Arabidopsis thaliana: one gene and its partners. The protein of the gene in region 1 interacts with the protein of each later gene in a pairwise test. Each region holds a gene or a part of one and is shown in the gene's direction. Other genes may lie near its edges. The genes, in order: ARAC5, NCRK and RBK2.

Region 1 (5,428 bases):
GATAAACTTTTACGTACGACGTATACTACTGTTTCTTCTTGTCCATATTTGTCTGCAAAACTCCAACACAACACAAACGATTATTTGAAAATAGAGAATCGGAGGAATATGTTATAGTATTTCATAAAAACTGCTTATAATAAAGAGTATTCAGCTTATACATAAAAGAGAGCTAGCTACATAACACAATCTCCGACTTAATTATATACCAAAGAGATTTACCTAGCTAATTCAACTTTAAAAAACGAGGTCTTGTGTTGACATCTTTGAATTTTTATTTATTGTACTTAGGCTCGGCTACAATGTAAAAAACAGGCGGTTTCGGAGAAGAATACCAAATGTATGTTTCCACCAAAATTATGTCAATTTACAAGACTGATATCTAGAATGTTCATGCTGATCAGCTAGTTATGTGGTTATTCAAAAAATATCTATAGATATCCCAATTCCAAGATTTGTAAATTATGTTAATATAAACAAAACTGTTACTTCTATGGAGTTTGAACCAGCGTGGCAAAAATTTCCTGCACCCATATTAATATTAAATTATCTCAAGCTAGTATCTGATGTTAGATTTGTACTGTGTATCACACTGTACGTATGCTTGCTTACTTATTACTCTATTACAACAGATATTTGTGTGTTTTCATTGTTAAATAATGTAACAGAAATTTGTGGGTTTGACTGTTCTTTTTACTGAATTTCTCACTACTTGAAGTCTAACTAGAATAACATGTGACTGTTTTATAATTTATAGTTCGAGGTTGATTCAGAAAAGTCGTAAAAATCTCTCATAAATGTATTACCGTATGGCTCTATATTGCATATATGGGCCCAATGTCTCAAGTCTCAACCATGTTTTAAATTTTCAGTACTAAGCAATGCATATGTTTTTGTTAGACACAATTTTTCTTCTTTTTTTGATAAAATGTGAGTTTTTTTTTTTTTTTGAAATGTGATTAATTACCAAAATGGAAACATTGTTACTTGCAAAAATCTTTGGGACAAATAGCTTCTAAGACAATTTGTTTTTTAAAAAGCCTCAGAAACTAATAAACGCAAAGATTACAAATAGAGAACTATTACGAGCTAGGCATGGGAAAACCATTGAGAGAGCAGTCACCGCGGCCTTTGCGGTACCTTCGAGCCAGGAGAGTGTCTCTAATTAATGTGCTCCTGTCGATTTGCTTAAAGACAGAGGCAAATCTGTTATGGAGACTGTTTGTACTTGTCAAACTATGGGCCATCAGTCGACCGCAGCCATTGTTAGACACAATTAACTATGTGCGCCATCTATTATGGAGACTGTTTCCACTTGTCAAACTTTAGCACTATGCCTTTAAAGCTTTAACAAATGTTGAATGACTGAGAAACCGACAAACTTTAGTCTACTACATCTTATCTATATACTAATTACGCAACAAAAAAATAAAAAAAAATTGGATAATGTTTTAAAACATAACATATTTTACTCTTCTTCTATGACAGATGAATTACTACATTCCAAAATAAACAAGTAAAAACTCTTGTTTCGTGGATAAGCATGCACTAGGCAGTCAATTCATTTGGAGTCTCACCAAACCAAGTACCCCATGGGCCCTGGTGGCAAAAATGGTCACTAATCATGATATTTCAAGAGTTGTCATAATGGGCCTTAATTCGCTACTGGGCCTCAAGTGTGAGCCTTCGTGTTATTGTCTTTTCTAGCTTCCAGTTGTGTTAGTGTGTTTGTGCCTTTGTGTTATGGCCCTTATGGCACTCCATATTGTCACTTGAATCACTAATGTAAAGTTTATTCATTTTCAAATAAGTCGCTTTAAATAGAAGCACTAGATTTCATGATCAATCATTATCAAATTTCTTATAAAAAAAATCATAAAGCCTGAAATTCATTTCATGTAAGAATCAGAATGAATGGGTAAAGGTGTTTTTGGTTGAGAGTAGGTAGAAGCGTAGAGCTAACTCTAACCCCTTCTTTAGTTTGGTATGATTGAATATTAGTTCATATAAATATAATTGGTGAAATTTTGATGTGTCCTTGGTCCTTTAGAAGCAAACTGTAATAATGCGACCGTATGATTTGGATAAATCTAATGTGGGACAATTCATGATGTGTCGTATGCTCATTGGTAGGTTGAAAGAGAGTTGAGCACGTTCGTGTAAGATTTTTCGATTCTTATGTCGTAAAGATGAAGAAAACTCTTTAAAATTACAACTATAAAAACAAAGACAAAGACACTCTTGACAAAATTAAACCATATTAATTTGATAAGGGATTTGAGAAAAAGGAATGAAATGGTGCCGTAACACTAAGTCGCACGTTCTTGACGAGAGTCGTCCCAATCCAATGATTAATATTTGGCAATTTCATGCCCTCCCTCCCCATAGTTTGGTCGTTTATTATGCTTTACTCTTAGTTTTTTTTCTTAAAAATTATAATCTTTATTTATTTGCTGTCTTTTTTTTTTATAATTGTCAATTAGGTTAACAACTATGGTCAAATTAGAAAACATTAGTTTTTGTTAAAAGAAAATTAAAAAAAAAATCCATGTTTATTAGTGAATTAGGTTTTTATTTTGGTGGTAGTTTAGCTAATCTCATAAAACAGATAGTAATTTCATAATGTAAAAAGATATTTCTACTATACAGAAAAGGAAAAGAAAAAAAAAAACTCATTACAACGGATAATTTCTCAATTTGTATTCAAATTCAAAATTAAAAGTGCTCAAAATTAGTATTATTTAAAAGAAATACTAAAGTGGGGTGAGTGTAAATGATAAGGTGTTGTTTGGTGTAGCAAATAGCTGGCATAAGGTTGGTATTGAAAAGCTCATCTCAGAATCATCAACGGCCCAAAACACATTGCAAATTAAAGAAAAAGCAAAGATTTTCCTCATTCTTTTGCCATTATTATCTCTCATCGATTTGGCTTGCTACTTTTGAATTTACCCGTGTTCTACTACGATTCGGGATTAGGGTTTTTTCTTGAGTTAGAAAAGATTGTTTCTTGATTCTTGGGAATGGCTGGGATTTGAGGAAGAAGAAGTGCAAAAGGGTTCTTTTTTTGAGTTTGTGAATTTGCTGCGGAGATGAGTGCTTCGAGGTTTATAAAGTGTGTCACCGTCGGCGATGGTGCCGTCGGAAAAACTTGTATGCTGATTTCTTACACAAGCAACACTTTCCCTACGGTAAAGTTTCTTCCTTTTGCTCTCAGTAGTGATCTTGAAGCATTCTTTGAAAATGGGTTTTTGGAGATTATTCATCTTTGTTCTTGAATGTGATTGATTAGCTGGTAAAAATTGTAAAAATCAATTCTTGACATGTTTCTTCAGAACTTTTATTGATGCTTCCATGGATTTAGCTTCTTTGTTATTTATCTTTACCTATGAGCATTGTTCTTCTTTCATTTTGGACTTCATGTTCAATTTGTATGTATTAGTCAAATTTGCAGATATGAGGATCTATAATCTTTTCCATTATTGTGTGTGTTAATGATGATCCACTATTGTGTGTGTTTTAGTTTAACAAACTCTATGACTTGGTTACTGAATATCAGGACTATGTTCCAACTGTTTTCGACAACTTCAGTGCTAATGTGGTTGTAGATGGGAACACGGTGAATCTTGGATTGTGGGATACAGCTGGTAAATAATCCTTTTGAAACTCATCAAATCTGGTTTTCTTGTTTTTTTGTGGTTTCATTTTGACTGATAATTCTTGGGTTTGTGCAGGTCAAGAAGACTATAACAGGTTAAGACCGTTGAGTTACCGTGGTGCCGATGTCTTCATTCTTGCATTCTCGCTTATTAGCAAAGCTAGCTACGAGAATGTAGCCAAGAAGGTTAGCTTTTTGTTGATCTAACGTCTTTCATTTGATAGTAATAACTTTCGTTAAGCTGATTTTGAATTGGTTCCTTCATTTGCTTTTTTTTTTTTTTTTTTCTTTATTTCAGTGGATTCCTGAGCTTAGGCATTATGCCCCTGGTGTTCCTATAATCCTCGTTGGAACGAAACTCGGTATTGACTCTCTTCTTGTCTAAAAACTCTTTCCTTATAATAAGAAAGAGATGAATAATAATTCAAGTTTTGGAATTTGCAGATCTTCGAGATGACAAGCAATTCTTCATAGACCATCCTGGTGCAGTGCCTATTACTACAAACCAGGTACATAACTCCACAATTCTTTAAAACAATAGTGTTTTTTGCTTTGCGAGTTCTTGATCTTTAGTTGTTTGTCTGCAGGGAGAGGAACTAAAGAAACTGATAGGATCACCAATCTACATTGAATGTAGTTCAAAGACTCAGCAGGTATACTACACACATAAATAATATCTCACATGTCTTTTTGTTTGGGATTTTTGTATTTGGTAAGACAGTGAAAATGTTGATTGTTGGGTTTTGCAGAATGTGAAAGCAGTCTTTGACGCAGCCATAAAAGTGGTGCTTCAGCCACCGAAACAGAAGAAGAAGAAAAAGAACAAGAACCGCTGCGTGTTCTTGTGATCGAACATCTCTTAAAACGAAAAAAGGTTTAGGTAACAAAAGAAGCTGAAGGAAAACGAACACCTGCAACATTGTATAGTTGTTGAATCCGGCTTGTTTCGGTCTTTACTCTTCTTTTTGCTGGTGAATCTAATGAGTGAACTGAGGCCAAGAGGAGGATTCTGGGTAAGAGAAGGGGATGTGTTCTTTTCTTGGTGTGTTGTTGTTGTTGTTGTACTTTTGCTATGTAGACTAATCTCTTAATACTATGTTGTCTTTGTTTTTGCTGTTGGGGTCCATTTTGTATTTTCTTTAACAGAAATCTTAATTAATTTTTTAGTGACTTTTTTTAAGCTTCCGTTGATCTTATGGTCTTGTATTGGTATGTAATTAGATTCAGACAACGAAGAACATCTTGAGATAGATCTCTATATACAATAAGATTAGAGACATCGTTGAATTGAGGCATAGTTTCAAAGAATGGTTTACAGAAACGAGGATTCTATACACACAGGTGAGGTGAGTATAAGGAACAAAGAAAATAACAATTACAAAGGTTTTCTCCATTTTGTAATAAGACCGAAAAGAAAACAAACATGTGTAGTGTACACTTCCTTTTCAGAGTTTCCAACATTTCTTTGGAAAATACAGAGAATTCCTCTCGGGATTTGATGAGGCTTGTGTCTCGGATTTAAGTCACAGCTTGATAGGGTCATATTTCTCACCCATCAAACCACCTTTCTGTTTTATGAACTTAATGTAACGCAATGTACTTGTAAAGAAGGGATCTGAGTGGATTGTCGTGTTACCGTTGTCGCTTTGCATCTCATTGTTGATCAATTCTATGAGGCTCTGTATATCAGATGGAGTGATATGTGGATTCCCTTTCTCAAAGAAGTAAATGTACCTGTTGTATATGAAAAAAACATTTTTAGTATTGAGATGC
Region 2 (7,361 bases), on another chromosome or scaffold:
GTGGTGTTCAGCCTCCTAACGTCTTACATAGCAGATTAACAGTCAATGCATCAGCGGTTACGTCTCTTCCCAACAATCATATGGGACAGAGTCCTCGGTTACATTTATCTTCGTTCAGTGACATATGTGACCACGAGCTGGAGAAGCTGAGCAGAGAACAAGGGACCTTACTGAAAAGCTTTGAAGAGACGGTTAGTCTTTTTCTAATTCTTGGTTAATCTATCTTTATTCGGTTTCCTGTCCTCTCTGCTCATTGTCTCGTTGTTTGTAAGCAGACATTAGAGTTGAAGGCTGAACTCGAGAGGAAGATGGCGGAAGCACGCAGTGAGTATGATAGGAAATCCCAAGAGGTAGATGCTGCGTATAACGCTCAAGCGAAGAAGAATGAAGCGTTAAGGAGTTTGGTTGTTATGAACAGTCTCTTGGCGAATGCTTACAAGTCTACTTGTCCAGTGAAGAGTGCAGCCACTGATACTGCTACCGTAAGAGGTAAAGTTGAAGAGTATAATTGGATAAAGCAAATGAGCTAAACAGCGACACTAATTCTCTTCCCTTTTTTTAGCACCCAGGAGCTCTCAACATTCAACGCAGCAGCAGCAAGCAGTGCAAACTAACAGGCATATGAATTCAACTGCTCCTCCTCGACCCTCAGTCACAGCAGCTGAACCTATGAATTCGGCTGCTCCTCCTCGACCCTCAGTCACAGCAGCTGAACCTATGAATTCAACTGCTCCTCCTCGACCCTCAGTCACAGCAGCGGAAGCTACACCTCCAAATCTTTCAGCTCCTCTCCCGCACTGCAACACTCCTCAACCAAGTCCAATATCTCAGCAAGCAGCAGTAGAATCAAACACACAGATGCAATCAACCGCCCTTCCTCGACCCTCTGTTACAGCAGAAGCTCGTCCTTTACATCAACCACACAGCAACACGTCTCAGCCAAGACCAATACCACAACAAGCATTAGCACAATCCAACACAAATATCACTTCAACCGCCCTTCCTCGACCCTCAATCACAGCAGAAGCTCGTCTGTTACATCAACCACACAGCAACACGCCTCAGCCAAGACCAATACCTCAGAAAGCTTTAGTACAAGCCAACACAGATATCAATTCAACCGCCCTTCCTCGACCCTTAGTCACAGCAGAAGCCCCTCCTTTACATCAATCAAGCTGCAAGGCTCCTCAGCCAAAACCAATATCTCAGCAACCAGCAGTACAATCCAAGACGGATATCATCAATTCAACCGCCCTTCCTCGACCCTCAGTCACAACAGAAGCCCGTCCTTTACATCAACCACGCAGCAAAACGCCTCAGCCAAAACCAGTATCTCAACCACCAGCAAAACAATCAAACACAGAAATCAATTCAACTCCCCATCCTCGACCCTCAGTCACATCAAAAGCTATATCTCTGCAATCACCGCCCTGCAACACACCTCAGCCAAGACCACCGCCTTTAATCTCCAACCATACTCCAACTTCTTATCAACCAGCTTCTGCTCCACCAGTGCATGGTATAGCGCGAAGGACCATGGCACCTCATTTAAGATCATCTCGAGCTCCCAACTCTGCTGCTGCACCATCAACATATCCAAGGTTGGCTCAAGAACAACAAAAGCAACAACAAAAGAAGTCAAACAGTAGCTTGGTCTATCTCTCAGATGACGACTAGTGACAAATCTTTGGGAGTATATAACATCAGTATATAGTTTTTGAAGTTTCTCTTAAGGGAATATATAAGTTCGAGAGGCCCTTTAAAACATTTGAGAATGCCTTGTACGAAGGATCATTTCGAATACTAATTTTTTGGAGAATATCAAGTAAGTTAACTAAAATATTTTTCACAAATTTGCAGTTTAATCAAAATTTATTTACATAATTCTGTTATTTTTACTCTATAGGAATTTTCAAAATACTTTTTTTCTCCTTACTTCGAGTTTTGAAAATATTTTTCATGCAGCGAATCTCTGATATCAATTTAGCGCCACGTGGCACGTGACATACCCCGATCTCTAATAAATGAACTCTTTTTAAAATCGCCCCCCTCGATACATCAGTTCACTAGTTTAGTGACTCCACTCGACCACAAACGCTAACGCAAACGCAGTCGCGTGGACTCCTCTGTTTATTTCGCGTTTTAGATTTCTTAATTCTCATTCTGATTTGACTGTGGAAAGGGATTCGTTTCTCCTTCAAGGAAAAAGTTTTATCTTTGCTGGAAACTCAACTACAAACGCGGTTTTGCTCCATTTCGCGTTTGCGTTTTAGCTCCAATGCTGGTACTCTCTGTTCTACTATAAGCTGTAGCAAGCTCCAAATCCTCAAAAATCGACATTGTTGCTTCTTCATATTAAGGTGGGTTTCTCATTAAATATGCGTTTTCAATTCATTTCCCTACATGTATGAAGAAATCATGAAATGGGGTTCCCCAAAAACTTCACCTTTTACTTGGAGAGAGCATCATTGAATTTGTGGGACATGATTCTTTCCATCAAAAAGTTAGATTTTTTCGGTCAATGGTGGAGGAAACAGGTCCTACAATCGAAAACCGGTTTTTTAAACCGGTTTCCGACAACCGACACCGGGAATTGTGAGTCCCACAATCAAAAACCGGGTTTTAAACCGGTTCCTGACAACCGACACCGGAAATTCTGGGTCCTAACAAATTTCAACAGTTTGCTTCGACCAACGTTTTGCTTTTCCTTAAAAGCAAAGTCCTTTTTGGCTCTATCTAATTTGGTTTGTCTATAATTTTGGATCAAGAATCTACAATGTCAAGTTCATAAAGAAAGAGTCATGTGAGCTAAGTTACAGTATCATCATATAGTTCTTGTTAAGATTCACAAAATCTAATATTTATCAATTTTGGTAAAGTTTAAGATGTTTTGATTATAATATAAAGATTTTGCCATTAGTAAACAGTTTAAAGTTAAGAGCTTTTCAATGATTCTGCCTCTTTGATTACTATAATGGTTGAAAGGTCACTCTCAGATTTGCAATGCCCGTTTCTTTCTATTGGTGGTTGGTCTGTTTTCATTCCATTTATTATTGTATTTGCCATTCTTTGACTAATCCTATACTCAATCATTTCTTTAATCACATTATTTTAGTAATCAATATCCTTCAAGATGCTCCATTACTTCTTTTTAATATCCTCTTGTCTGCAACTTCCTTTTCTTGACTCTGTAGTTCTTACTTCAACTTCACCACTTTGCAGGGTAATGTAATCTATATTAGCTCTCTTGTTTGGTTCTTTTAGTGTTTTGGTTGTTGTGTTATGATGTTTGTTGTCTGTATGTGAAAACATAGCCAACTAACTTTAGAGGGAACTAAAGATTTTGCAGAATCAGATGAGTGACAATGGATCTTTAAATGATTGATGTGGACCGTATATCTATCGCTATGAGTTTCTTGTTTTCTCTTCTAACTCTGGGCCCTTTTAAGAATTGGAGACTCTTGACCAAATCATAGAATGTTTTTGGTTCATAGTGGGTGTAACAGAGTTAGAATCTTTTCGATGTCTGTTCACCAACTCATTCATTCACATTACACTGTAGTTTTACCTGTGAATTCTATAAAAATTCTACTCTACTTGTAATCTGGTCTAATCTAAACATAACTTGTTTCAGGTTTTAGATTCTTGCACTCTTGGAGGTTGAGCTTAGTTCGACATGAAGGTCTTTATCTAATCTCCACTCGCTGGCAATGAAGATGAGAGTGGAAACCGCACTTGCGATCCTTTTGGTTCTCATATCAATTCAACAATGTTATGGAGGTTAGTTTCTACTCAGCAACATATATAAAAACATGGTGTGAGTTTCATTTAAATTGATGACGTTTCTTTGTTAGGTGTAAGCAACTATACATGTACGTGTTTCTCTTCGGGCAATCGAAGTGATATCCTGGAATCTAACTGTTCCACATCATGTAATTGCAGACCAGGTTCGTTTTCTCTTTACCAACTAGAAAATTTTCAATATTCTAGAGAAAACTAACTTTTTGACTCTCTCTTTTGTTAGCAGACAGAGATCAATGGGTATGTTTGTGTCCTGCAAATGGATTTCCGGTTATAGCCATTGGTGGTTCAAATTCGTCATGCTTCACTTCATGCAACTGCTCTGCTGGTATAGTTTACTATATCCATTGTTCTACTGCAAACTTAGTCGATTATATCATAAGTTGGTCTACTTACTTGTTTCCAGGTGCTACAAAATCTTCAAAGAAGCAATATTTATCGAGGAAACTCGTTATAGTTATACTACTCTTCTGCGGTGTACTCATTTCACTAGCATTCCTTGCCTCTATGATTTGTTACATTTGTAGAAAGGACAAGTTTTCTGGACAAACCCCTTCAGTCTCTTCAGATAGAGAATCTAGCTGGCATAGCTCTGCTAACTTAATAAACCGTAAAAGCTCGGTTTCACAATCGAAAATTAGCATCAGCTCCTCAGTGGCAGGTCAATCATTTTTACCCTCTTACTTTCTTTGAGTTGATACGTTAAACAGAAGAGGAAATAAGAACTTGTTTTTGTTTTGTTTTCTTCAGGTTGCTTCTTTCAGAATGCTTCTTTGTTTTGTGTGAGCAAACCTGAAACAATCCATGGAGCTATCTTTCAGTTCTCATACACAGAATTAGAGCAAGCAACCAATAAATTCTCAAGTAACAGTGTAATAGGACATGGAGGAAGTAGTTGTGTTTACCGTGGACAGCTCAAAGACGGTAAAACCGCTGCGATCAAACGTCTAAATACCCCTAAAGGAGACGACACTGACACTCTATTCTCAACAGAGGTACTAATCTCATTTCTCCTACTTCTCATTTGGAATTCATATTTGATCCAATGTCTTTATTAATGTTCTCACAGGTAGAGTTATTATCAAGACTCCATCATTACCATGTGGTACCGTTAATTGGATATTGTTCGGAGTTTCATGGCAAACATGCAGAGAGGCTTCTGGTTTTTGAGTACATGTCTTATGGAAGTCTAAGAGATTGCTTAGATGGAGAGTTAGGGGAGAAAATGACATGGAACATCCGAATCTCTGTCGCTCTTGGAGCTGCAAGAGGACTTGAGTATCTTCATGAAGCTGCCGCTCCAAGAATCTTACACCGAGATGTGAAATCCACAAATATTCTCCTTGATGAGAATTGGCATGCAAAAGTAAGTATACACAAACATTTTCAGTGTTCAATGAGGCTAAATTTGAAGTTTTAATGCACATAACATTTTTACAGATAACAGATCTTGGGATGGCTAAGTGTTTGAGTAGCGATGGTTTACAAAGCGGTTCAAGCTCTCCAACCACAGGACTACAAGGAACATTTGGCTACTTTGCACCTGAATACGCAATTGCAGGATGTGCTTCACAGATGTCAGATGTTTTCAGCTTTGGTGTTGTTCTACTCGAGCTTATAACCGGAAGGAAACCGATACAGAAACCAAGCAACAACAAAGGCGAAGAAAGCCTAGTTATATGGGTAATTAACACTGGTTTATGAATCTTTAGTTGTAGCTTTAGCCAACAAATTTCAAGTCTCTGAAACTTATTTGTTCTGTGGTGTGTTAGGCTGTGCCACGGTTACAAGATAGTAAGCGGGTGATCGAGGAACTGCCTGATCCGCGGCTAAACGGGAAGTTTGCGGAAGAAGAGATGCAGATAATGGCGTATCTTGCTAAAGAGTGTTTGCTTTTGGATCCAGAAAGTAGACCAACAATGAGAGAAGTTGTTCAGATTCTTTCAACCATCACACCAGACACATCATCCAGACGTAGAAATTTCCCCATTAATTATCTTTTCCAGGTATGTTTTACATGAAAACAACGTGTATATTAGCGTTTGAAACAATCGACCCTTACTATCGGCGACATTTGTTTTCGCAGAGTAACGAGAAGAAGAAAGAAAGCAAAGTGGGATGGTCAAGAGGAGGGAGCAAGAGTGGACAGGAAGAGGAAACAGTGGATCTGACTGAGCCACGGTTCGAGTCATTCTGCTTGCCGAATGTGAAGCCGGTCTTGCTTGAACCATCTGCACATATTTAAAAAGTAGATAGAAAAGCACAGAACAAAAACTGCCATTTCGCACTGTGTAGATAAAAAGCTCACTCTGACGAGAGTGAAGCGTTGAGACTTGAGAGTTTACTACAAGTGAGAGTGTCAAGATTTGTTCTAAACTAGAGGACTTTTAATTGATAATTTTAATAAATATATTTAACAAAATGTACACAAGAGTTATTATTCACAAGATTTGCTATATTTTTTTATTTGGAAAAAAATGGTTAAGTCAGAATTGATTCATTGTTAAAAAAATCGAAATGAGCATGGCCATTATGTATTGTAAAGAGTTCGTGTCAACCACTACACTCTAGGAACCGGCCTTGCATACACAATTACACATACATAATGGGCATGTTCATTTTTTCATTTGGATAATTCATAAAATTTGGATTATTAGATGTTATGCAAAGTAGAGTTTAGATAGCAAATATTGCATCAAAACCGACTAAAAGGCTAGAATACCTCTAAATCATGTAAAAATAATTGTATGAAGATTTATTAATTTACGTCACTGATGATTTTCTTTGTAAGTTTGTTTTGTAAAAGAACAAGCTATCATATGTAAATAGCATTGTGAGATTAGAACAATACTTGATTGAGTTATTTTTAGTGCCAAGATCCTTCTCTCCGCCTCAACCACTCTAAGTTGGAAGGTAAATAGGAGCGTATCCTTATCGACTCTTGATGGGCTATGCAGCCTTTTGCTTCTCCACTAATGAGGACTTAATACGATATAGAGGTGATACATCATATATTCCTACACACATGTTTGGGAAAAACCGAGTCTAAGTATGAAAATTTCAAAGATGTTATATCCAACATAATCATATGTTTTGCTCATATGTTTTTAATACTAAGAACTATTTTCTATAGTCTTGATTACTTAATATTAGAATTTAGAAGACTAGAAGTTTTCATGCCCTATGAGAATAAGCAAAATGCTAAATTTTCCGGCTACAATCTACGGTATTAAGTTTGAACGAACTATTTTCAATCTTTTGCAAAGATTTTTCAAGATAGTTGAAGTTAACCAAAATCTTTGATCGAAGAGAGTCGTCGTTCCATATGGTAAGTTTATACATTGTGACTGATTTTACAAATGTTTAGGAAAAGTAATTGGGTAGTATAGTAACATCATTACATCAACATGTTGGATAATCGAAGAAAGAGAAGGTGGGGGATGATGGGATCAATCAAGAAAAGCCCATATGGTGTGTTCCACAGACTGGACGAATCAAACCCATTTATTCCAAATGTAACCGTCCATTAATTGCCAACCCAAGCTTTGTCTCTTAATTTA
Region 3 (5,977 bases), on another chromosome or scaffold:
GCAGAGATCACTGAAGACAACCGCATGGCCTGTCTCAAAGACAAAAACCATGTGAGCCAAAAAGTAATTTTATATTTCGTAAAAATGGTATATTTTTCTTAGGATTTATTGTGTGTATATTGAGATAAAAACAATTTTGTTTAGGTAGGTTTTACCCCTTTCCGACCGATGAAATCAGAAATCTTCCCCGATGTAATGGCGCCGAGCACTGCTCCCATATTCAATATCGATCCGAAAACCGAAAACTAGATTCCAATAGAGAAAAAAAAAAAAAAAAGATTAAGCAAAATATTGTTAAACATGCATCTATAAACGTAGAAGACTTAATCAATTTAATATAAACCTGGGAATATGATAAATTAAGCTCTTCCATAATCCCAAACTGTGTTGGAGCGGAGTATCCCACCTATTAAAAAACAAACACAGATTTTCTCGTATCAAAAAGATTAATCGTCACAAATTCTTAGGTTCTCATCATCTTTTATTTCCAAAGTAATAGGTGTCGTAAAAGAATCTTACGCATGTTCCAAACTCGTAGGAACCGCAAACGGCAATGATCGTGCTTAGATAAACCATCCATGATGCTTCTTCTGAGACGTCGGATCCATTCTCCGGCAGCAGCAACGGCTCGGATTTGTCGTTCCTTTTCTCCATGTCGTCTTTTCTTGTCTCCATTTTCTTCGTAAAATGCCCTTTGAATTCAACGAATACTTATCAATTTTTATGTAGATAAAATATAGGATATATGATAAGAAACACAAGATTTGGATAACTCACCGGAGGAAATGAGAAGGCACCGTGTTTTTAGATCTAAAAACTCTGATTTGTTCCTAATTTATTGATATATATCATGTCTATATTTATCTCTGTATAAATCAGTACATGTAGCTAGGCTGGCTTAGCTAAAACCCATGCAGGATAATTTTGGACGAATTAGACAATTTGAATTAATTTATTCGAGATTTTATGAAAGTCCCAACTCCCAATGCATTATTACACGTTGGGGGTTCTCTATAGTTTTAATGTTGATTGACTAAACTTGAATTTTCTTAAGTAAGATAATTCAGAAGTAATTACATGGTATTTCATAGTAATAATATTCACTAATACTTTCCTCAAAAAATTCACAAATACTATGTACATTATGGATGCATTGTGTTACTGGGTAAGTAAGATGCATGGTTTGTTATTTTGTTTTCCTTTTTGGTGATGGTTTATGACATGCACAGTAACGTGTAATTGACTCAAAGGTTTGACCCGATAAGACAGTTGTTTTCCACAGATCCGATGCTCATGTGTTTTTTCCTGGCCCACCGCAAGATCCAAGCTGTGATGGATAGTTTTTTTTTTTTTTTTTTTCTATAAATGTGATGGATAGTTGATACTATAATAATTTCTAATTTGGGAGACAAAATCCAAAAAAAACTCTAGATCATATAGTATAAAACTACAGGGATTCAAAAGACAGTATTTGGATTTGTAGTTGGCCATGAGATATTCGTTTCCACTCCGCATTAACCACATAAGTAATGAATTATTCTTCTTCTCGTCATATGGGCTAATATCATTCAAATTCTTGCGAATGTAAGATGTATAGAAAAAACCGCCCACTATAGAAATCATCAAAATCTATGAAAATGATTTTGTCGCGGAAGTTGAACTGAGTCATTACAATTTGGACCCAGCGTCATTGAGCAAAAACCTATTTAATCGAGGGTACAGAAAGTTAGCGTAGGGACTATTGATAGATTGATAGAACAGAACAGTACCTAACAAGATTTACATAAATGATCGATGTCCCCTCTCTTATACAACAATGAAGTATTGAACAATCACTTCCAACATGATTGTGGTCCGTGGTTTAACTATCCAAAACTTATATAAGAGTCACTTGAAATAATATTTGTTAATCACAAAAATAAGAATCATAAAAATAAATAAACGGTGCAAAGCAATAAAGCCAATGCAGGTTTTAATGCAGGCTTTCTGCATCATATACACACAGAAAATATTCTATTCACAAGAAAGAAAATACAAAACAGAGTACTACTTGAATAAAAACATATAGAAAATTAAAGATAATTACTATCAGGTCGCAATATATACAAGAATGTCAATATCTACAATTGATTAGTAACAGTAAATGAAATTAGTAAAACTAAAACTACTTAGATTACTCAAGTTTGATCTTTTATAAATTCCTTATCAACAAGATAAAGAAAGTAGTTTTTTAAAACCTTAAAAGACCTAAATTAGGAATATGAGTTTGGATAACGAGACCGACAGATGAAGCGATTTTTAAGGACCCTTAACCCTTTCTGCCATAAATGAATGAAGCTAAGAGAATGCCTCTGAGTTCAATCCAAAAAGAGAAAATCAAAAGCATATTGCCAAATATAGGATTTAGTCATTTTAGAGTCTAACTATTAGCTTAACAAAAAAACTACTAGTAGATATACCATTGGTCAACGGAAAACAATTAAATTAGTAAATCAAATTTTAAACACACAGACAAAACCTTTTCTTTCGGGTGTCTCGAGACGAACACCAACTTCAAAACTTCTTTCTATTTTTATTTATTTTTGGTTTAAATGTTAACTTCTTTCTATTTCCTTTCTATGATCCTCTTCTCTATTTTTAGGTTTTCAGGTTTCTGAGAAAATCTTAAAAGTGTCCTACCAACACTCTTTCATGGCGGTAGACCAAAGCAAAGAAGCTTCTCCCGTGTGTTGTGCTCTTCCAATGTAATCATTCAATCAAATCACTTTTTTCTCTGTTTGTTCTTATATTTGATTTGAGTTTTTTTTTGGTAGACATGATATTAATGTCTAGAAGTTTATCTTCTGTTCTGTTATGATTTTCATTGATACTTAACGAACGTTTAAGCAGAATTAACGAACTTTCCCTGAATTTTCACCGATTTTCTCTTAATTTCCCGCAAAATTTACATAAGAACGACATGTTTAGTCTGTTCTTTTCTTTTGAATCTCCCGAGGCAGGTACAACTCTAAATATTCAAGTTATGTCACTGAAGAAGATCCAAACGACATAAATCATACGTCAAAACATAAAAGAACCAACGCGTTTCTTATGAATTCTGCTTCAGCTCATGGTAAAACCTAGCTCCTCTGTTTCCTCTGTTTCTATGTTTGCTCTGTTTTCTCTTGTCCTCTGTATTCTTATTCATTGCTTGTACACCAAAAAACCTAGCTTCTTCCAACGTTTTCTCTCCCTTCTCCTCCCAGATCTAAGATTACTAGAGGTAGATAAAGAGAAGCAAGACCCCAAATCACCAAGAGGAGCCCTCGAAGCCTGCTTAACTCGTTGCTCAATCTCTTCCGCTTCATCTTCATCTGACGATCCTCCTCCAAACAGAGAAGCTATCGACAATGCAGATGCAGACACAGACGTACAGTGCAAGAATCACAGAGCATCTTCTAATTGGGGAAAATTCTTCAAGCTATGGAAACGCAGATCCATGAAACGCCTCTCTTCCTTTCCTCCATTAAGTGGCGCCGCCCCACCGATCATCAAACAAAACAAAAGTGCAGATCCAAACATGAATGGCATGGTCCTTCACGATATCTACGATTTCCAATCATCTCTCCAAAACTTCTCAATATCTGACATCGAAATTGCAACTGACAATTTCAGTCCAGGTATCGAGTTTATCTTCATAACAATATACTCTCTTCTTTTTTACTTGAAGGACTGTTTGGTTGCTACTATTACTGCAATTAAAACGACGCTTCTATGCAGAAAACATTATCGGTAGAGGCGGTTACGCCGATGTATACCAGGGAATTCTACCGGAAGGAAAGCTAATCGCTGTGAAACGTTTGACAAAAGGCACACCGGACGAGCAAACAGCTGAGTTTCTATCGGAACTTGGGATTATTGCTCATGTTGATCATCCTAACACTGCCAAATTCATCGGTTGTTGCATCGAGGGTGGAATGCATCTCGTGTTCCGGCTATCTCCTCTTGGAAGCTTAGGCTCTCTCCTCCATGGTTTCTATATCCACCCATAAACTTAACGGATATACATATCGGGCTTTTAAGCTTATCATATCTAAATGCTCAAATTAATTTGTACAGGACCATCAAAATATAAGCTGACTTGGAGCAGACGTTACAATGTAGCGTTAGGAACAGCAGATGGACTAGTGTATCTTCATGAGGGTTGTCAAAGACGAATCATTCATCGAGACATCAAAGCTGATAATATTCTTCTCACCGAAGATTTTCAACCGCAGATTTGCGACTTCGGGTTAGCCAAATGGCTTCCCAAGCAATTGACACACCATAACGTATCCAAATTTGAGGGAACATTCGGGTAACAATTTGAAATTTTTTAGGAAAAGTTTTTTTTTATGTGGTTCAGTTGAGAATTTGGTTGGACAATGTTTTAGGTACTTTGCACCTGAATATTTCATGCACGGAATCGTGGACGAGAAGACTGATGTTTTCGCTTTTGGAGTTCTCCTCTTGGAGCTCATAACCGGACATCCTGCCCTTGACGAGTCTCAGCAGAGCCTTGTCTTATGGGTGAGTATATAGACCAGTTTGACATTTGAGGCTAAACCGGACCGGTTCACTATCCTTTTATCAGTCTGGTACGAGTTACGTTTCCTTTTTGCTTACAGGCTAAGCCGTTGCTAGAGAGAAAAGCTATAAAAGAATTGGTGGATCCATCTCTTGGAGATGAGTATAACCGAGAAGAGCTTATCCGGTTAACTTCCACGGCTTCTTTATGCATCGATCAATCTTCTCTTCTACGACCCCGGATGAGCCAGGTATAATATTGTAATTCCATCCCGGTTAAGGTTTCAAAGTGGGAAAGAACCAAATGTCAAATTCGTTTTGGTTCCGGTTTTGATACTGTTTCTTTAAATGTATCCAGGTTGTGGAATTATTACTAGGCCACGAAGATGTCGTAATGACTCCAAGAGAAGCGAAGATAAAGATGATGCAACGAACGTATTCCGAAGAATTATTAGATAGTGTAGAATATAACTCCACTAAGTACTTGGGAGATCTTGATCGCATTCGAGAGGTTGCTTTAGCCTCTTGAAATCGATCCAAATTATTATTATGTAAAACTATTTTGGTTTCTTTCATTGGTGAATGTAAATCGTTGGAAAAAATTACCAAAAAAAACTATTATGTGATCAAAATAGCTGAAATTTGTTTATGGATGGGAATGGAACAAACTAAATTAAAACCGGTTTAATTCCAGCTTAAATTCGGTTTATAATCACTCTCACTAGTCACTAGTATCACGTGGCAGTCACGTGCAACGTTGTTGGATTTACGTTACGAAAATATCTAAAAACAGAGAAGACTGATGTGATAAGATAAATCAAATCTTAAAATCTGGGCCCTGAATTTTGAATTTGCAAATTTACCCCCAAAGACGTTTCGTCTCTCTTCACACTGACCATCGAAATCCTCAAAAAACCCTAATCACCGCCACCACTTTTTTTGCAACCTTCGAGAATCCTCAAAACGATGGCCAAGAAGAAAGCGTCGCGTAACAGTAACGACACCGCTAATGATAACCGACAACAACAACATGACCAGAAAGCACCGGAGACTGACAAGAAAGCCACGGTACTTAGCCGTCAGTCTTCCATGGAAGAACACGATTCTTCGGAGGAGCAATTCCAGAATTTGAAGTCTCTTAATGCGATGCTTCTCAAACAAGCTATGGAGAAGAGAAACCAGATCGATTCGCTGGTTCAGGCCAAGGATGAATTGGAGACCGAGTTAGCTCGTTATTGTCAGGAGAAGACTGGGTTGCGTGACGAGTTGGATCAGGTGAGTGATGAGAATTTCGGGTTGAAGTTTGAATTGGATTTTGTTATTGTGTTTGTTGAGAGCCAGTTTAGAGAGATGTGTGTTGGAGTTGATATGTTGGTGAAGGAGAAGAGTGATAGAGAGAGTGAGATTAGGGTTTTGAAAGGGGAAGCGATTG

The links.
Region 2: the proteins of ARAC5 (region 1) and NCRK interact in a two-hybrid assay, tested with the Arabidopsis thaliana proteins (one study listed by BioGRID).
Region 3: the proteins of ARAC5 (region 1) and RBK2 interact in a two-hybrid assay, tested with the Arabidopsis thaliana proteins (one study listed by BioGRID).

What each region holds. Positions count from the first base shown.
Region 1 is NC_003070.9:28,472,875-28,478,302, forward strand, and holds ARAC5 (RAC-like GTP binding protein 5), read left to right. Parts: upstream 1-2,774; 5' UTR 2,775-3,089; coding exon 3,090-3,188; intron 3,189-3,556; coding exon 3,557-3,644; intron 3,645-3,731; coding exon 3,732-3,841; intron 3,842-3,953; coding exon 3,954-4,017; intron 4,018-4,099; coding exon 4,100-4,164; intron 4,165-4,242; coding exon 4,243-4,308; intron 4,309-4,404; coding exon 4,405-4,503; 3' UTR 4,504-4,928; downstream 4,929-5,428. Other genes in the region: VPS35B (VPS35 homolog B), read right to left, coding at 5,179-5,389. UniProt on the Arabidopsis thaliana protein: Involved in cell polarity control during the actin-dependent tip growth of root hairs, thus regulating root hair length and root hair initiation.
Region 2 is NC_003071.7:12,040,294-12,047,654, forward strand, and holds NCRK (Protein kinase superfamily protein), read left to right. Parts: upstream 1-2,054; 5' UTR 2,055-2,360; intron 2,361-2,413; exon of another isoform or gene 2,414-3,634; 5' UTR 3,635-3,710; coding exon 3,711-3,780; intron 3,781-3,854; coding exon 3,855-3,947; intron 3,948-4,027; coding exon 4,028-4,129; intron 4,130-4,207; coding exon 4,208-4,462; intron 4,463-4,551; coding exon 4,552-4,796; intron 4,797-4,870; coding exon 4,871-5,167; intron 5,168-5,241; coding exon 5,242-5,484; intron 5,485-5,573; coding exon 5,574-5,807; intron 5,808-5,887; coding exon 5,888-6,046; 3' UTR 6,047-6,323; downstream 6,324-7,361. Other genes in the region: AT2G28240 (ATP-dependent helicase family protein), read left to right, coding at 1-191, 276-489, 563-1,677.
Region 3 is NC_003074.8:1,434,914-1,440,890, reverse strand, and holds RBK2 (ROP binding protein kinases 2), read left to right. Parts: upstream 1-2,351; 5' UTR 2,352-2,691; coding exon 2,692-2,744; exon of another isoform or gene 2,745-2,999; coding exon 3,000-3,112; intron 3,113-3,245; coding exon 3,246-3,659; intron 3,660-3,759; coding exon 3,760-4,011; intron 4,012-4,098; coding exon 4,099-4,336; intron 4,337-4,412; coding exon 4,413-4,548; intron 4,549-4,646; coding exon 4,647-4,796; intron 4,797-4,903; coding exon 4,904-5,074; 3' UTR 5,075-5,207; downstream 5,208-5,977. Other genes in the region: AT3G05150 (Major facilitator superfamily protein), read right to left, coding at 1-29, 156-245, 344-406, 520-675; AT3G05130 (paramyosin-like protein), read left to right, coding at 5,512-5,977.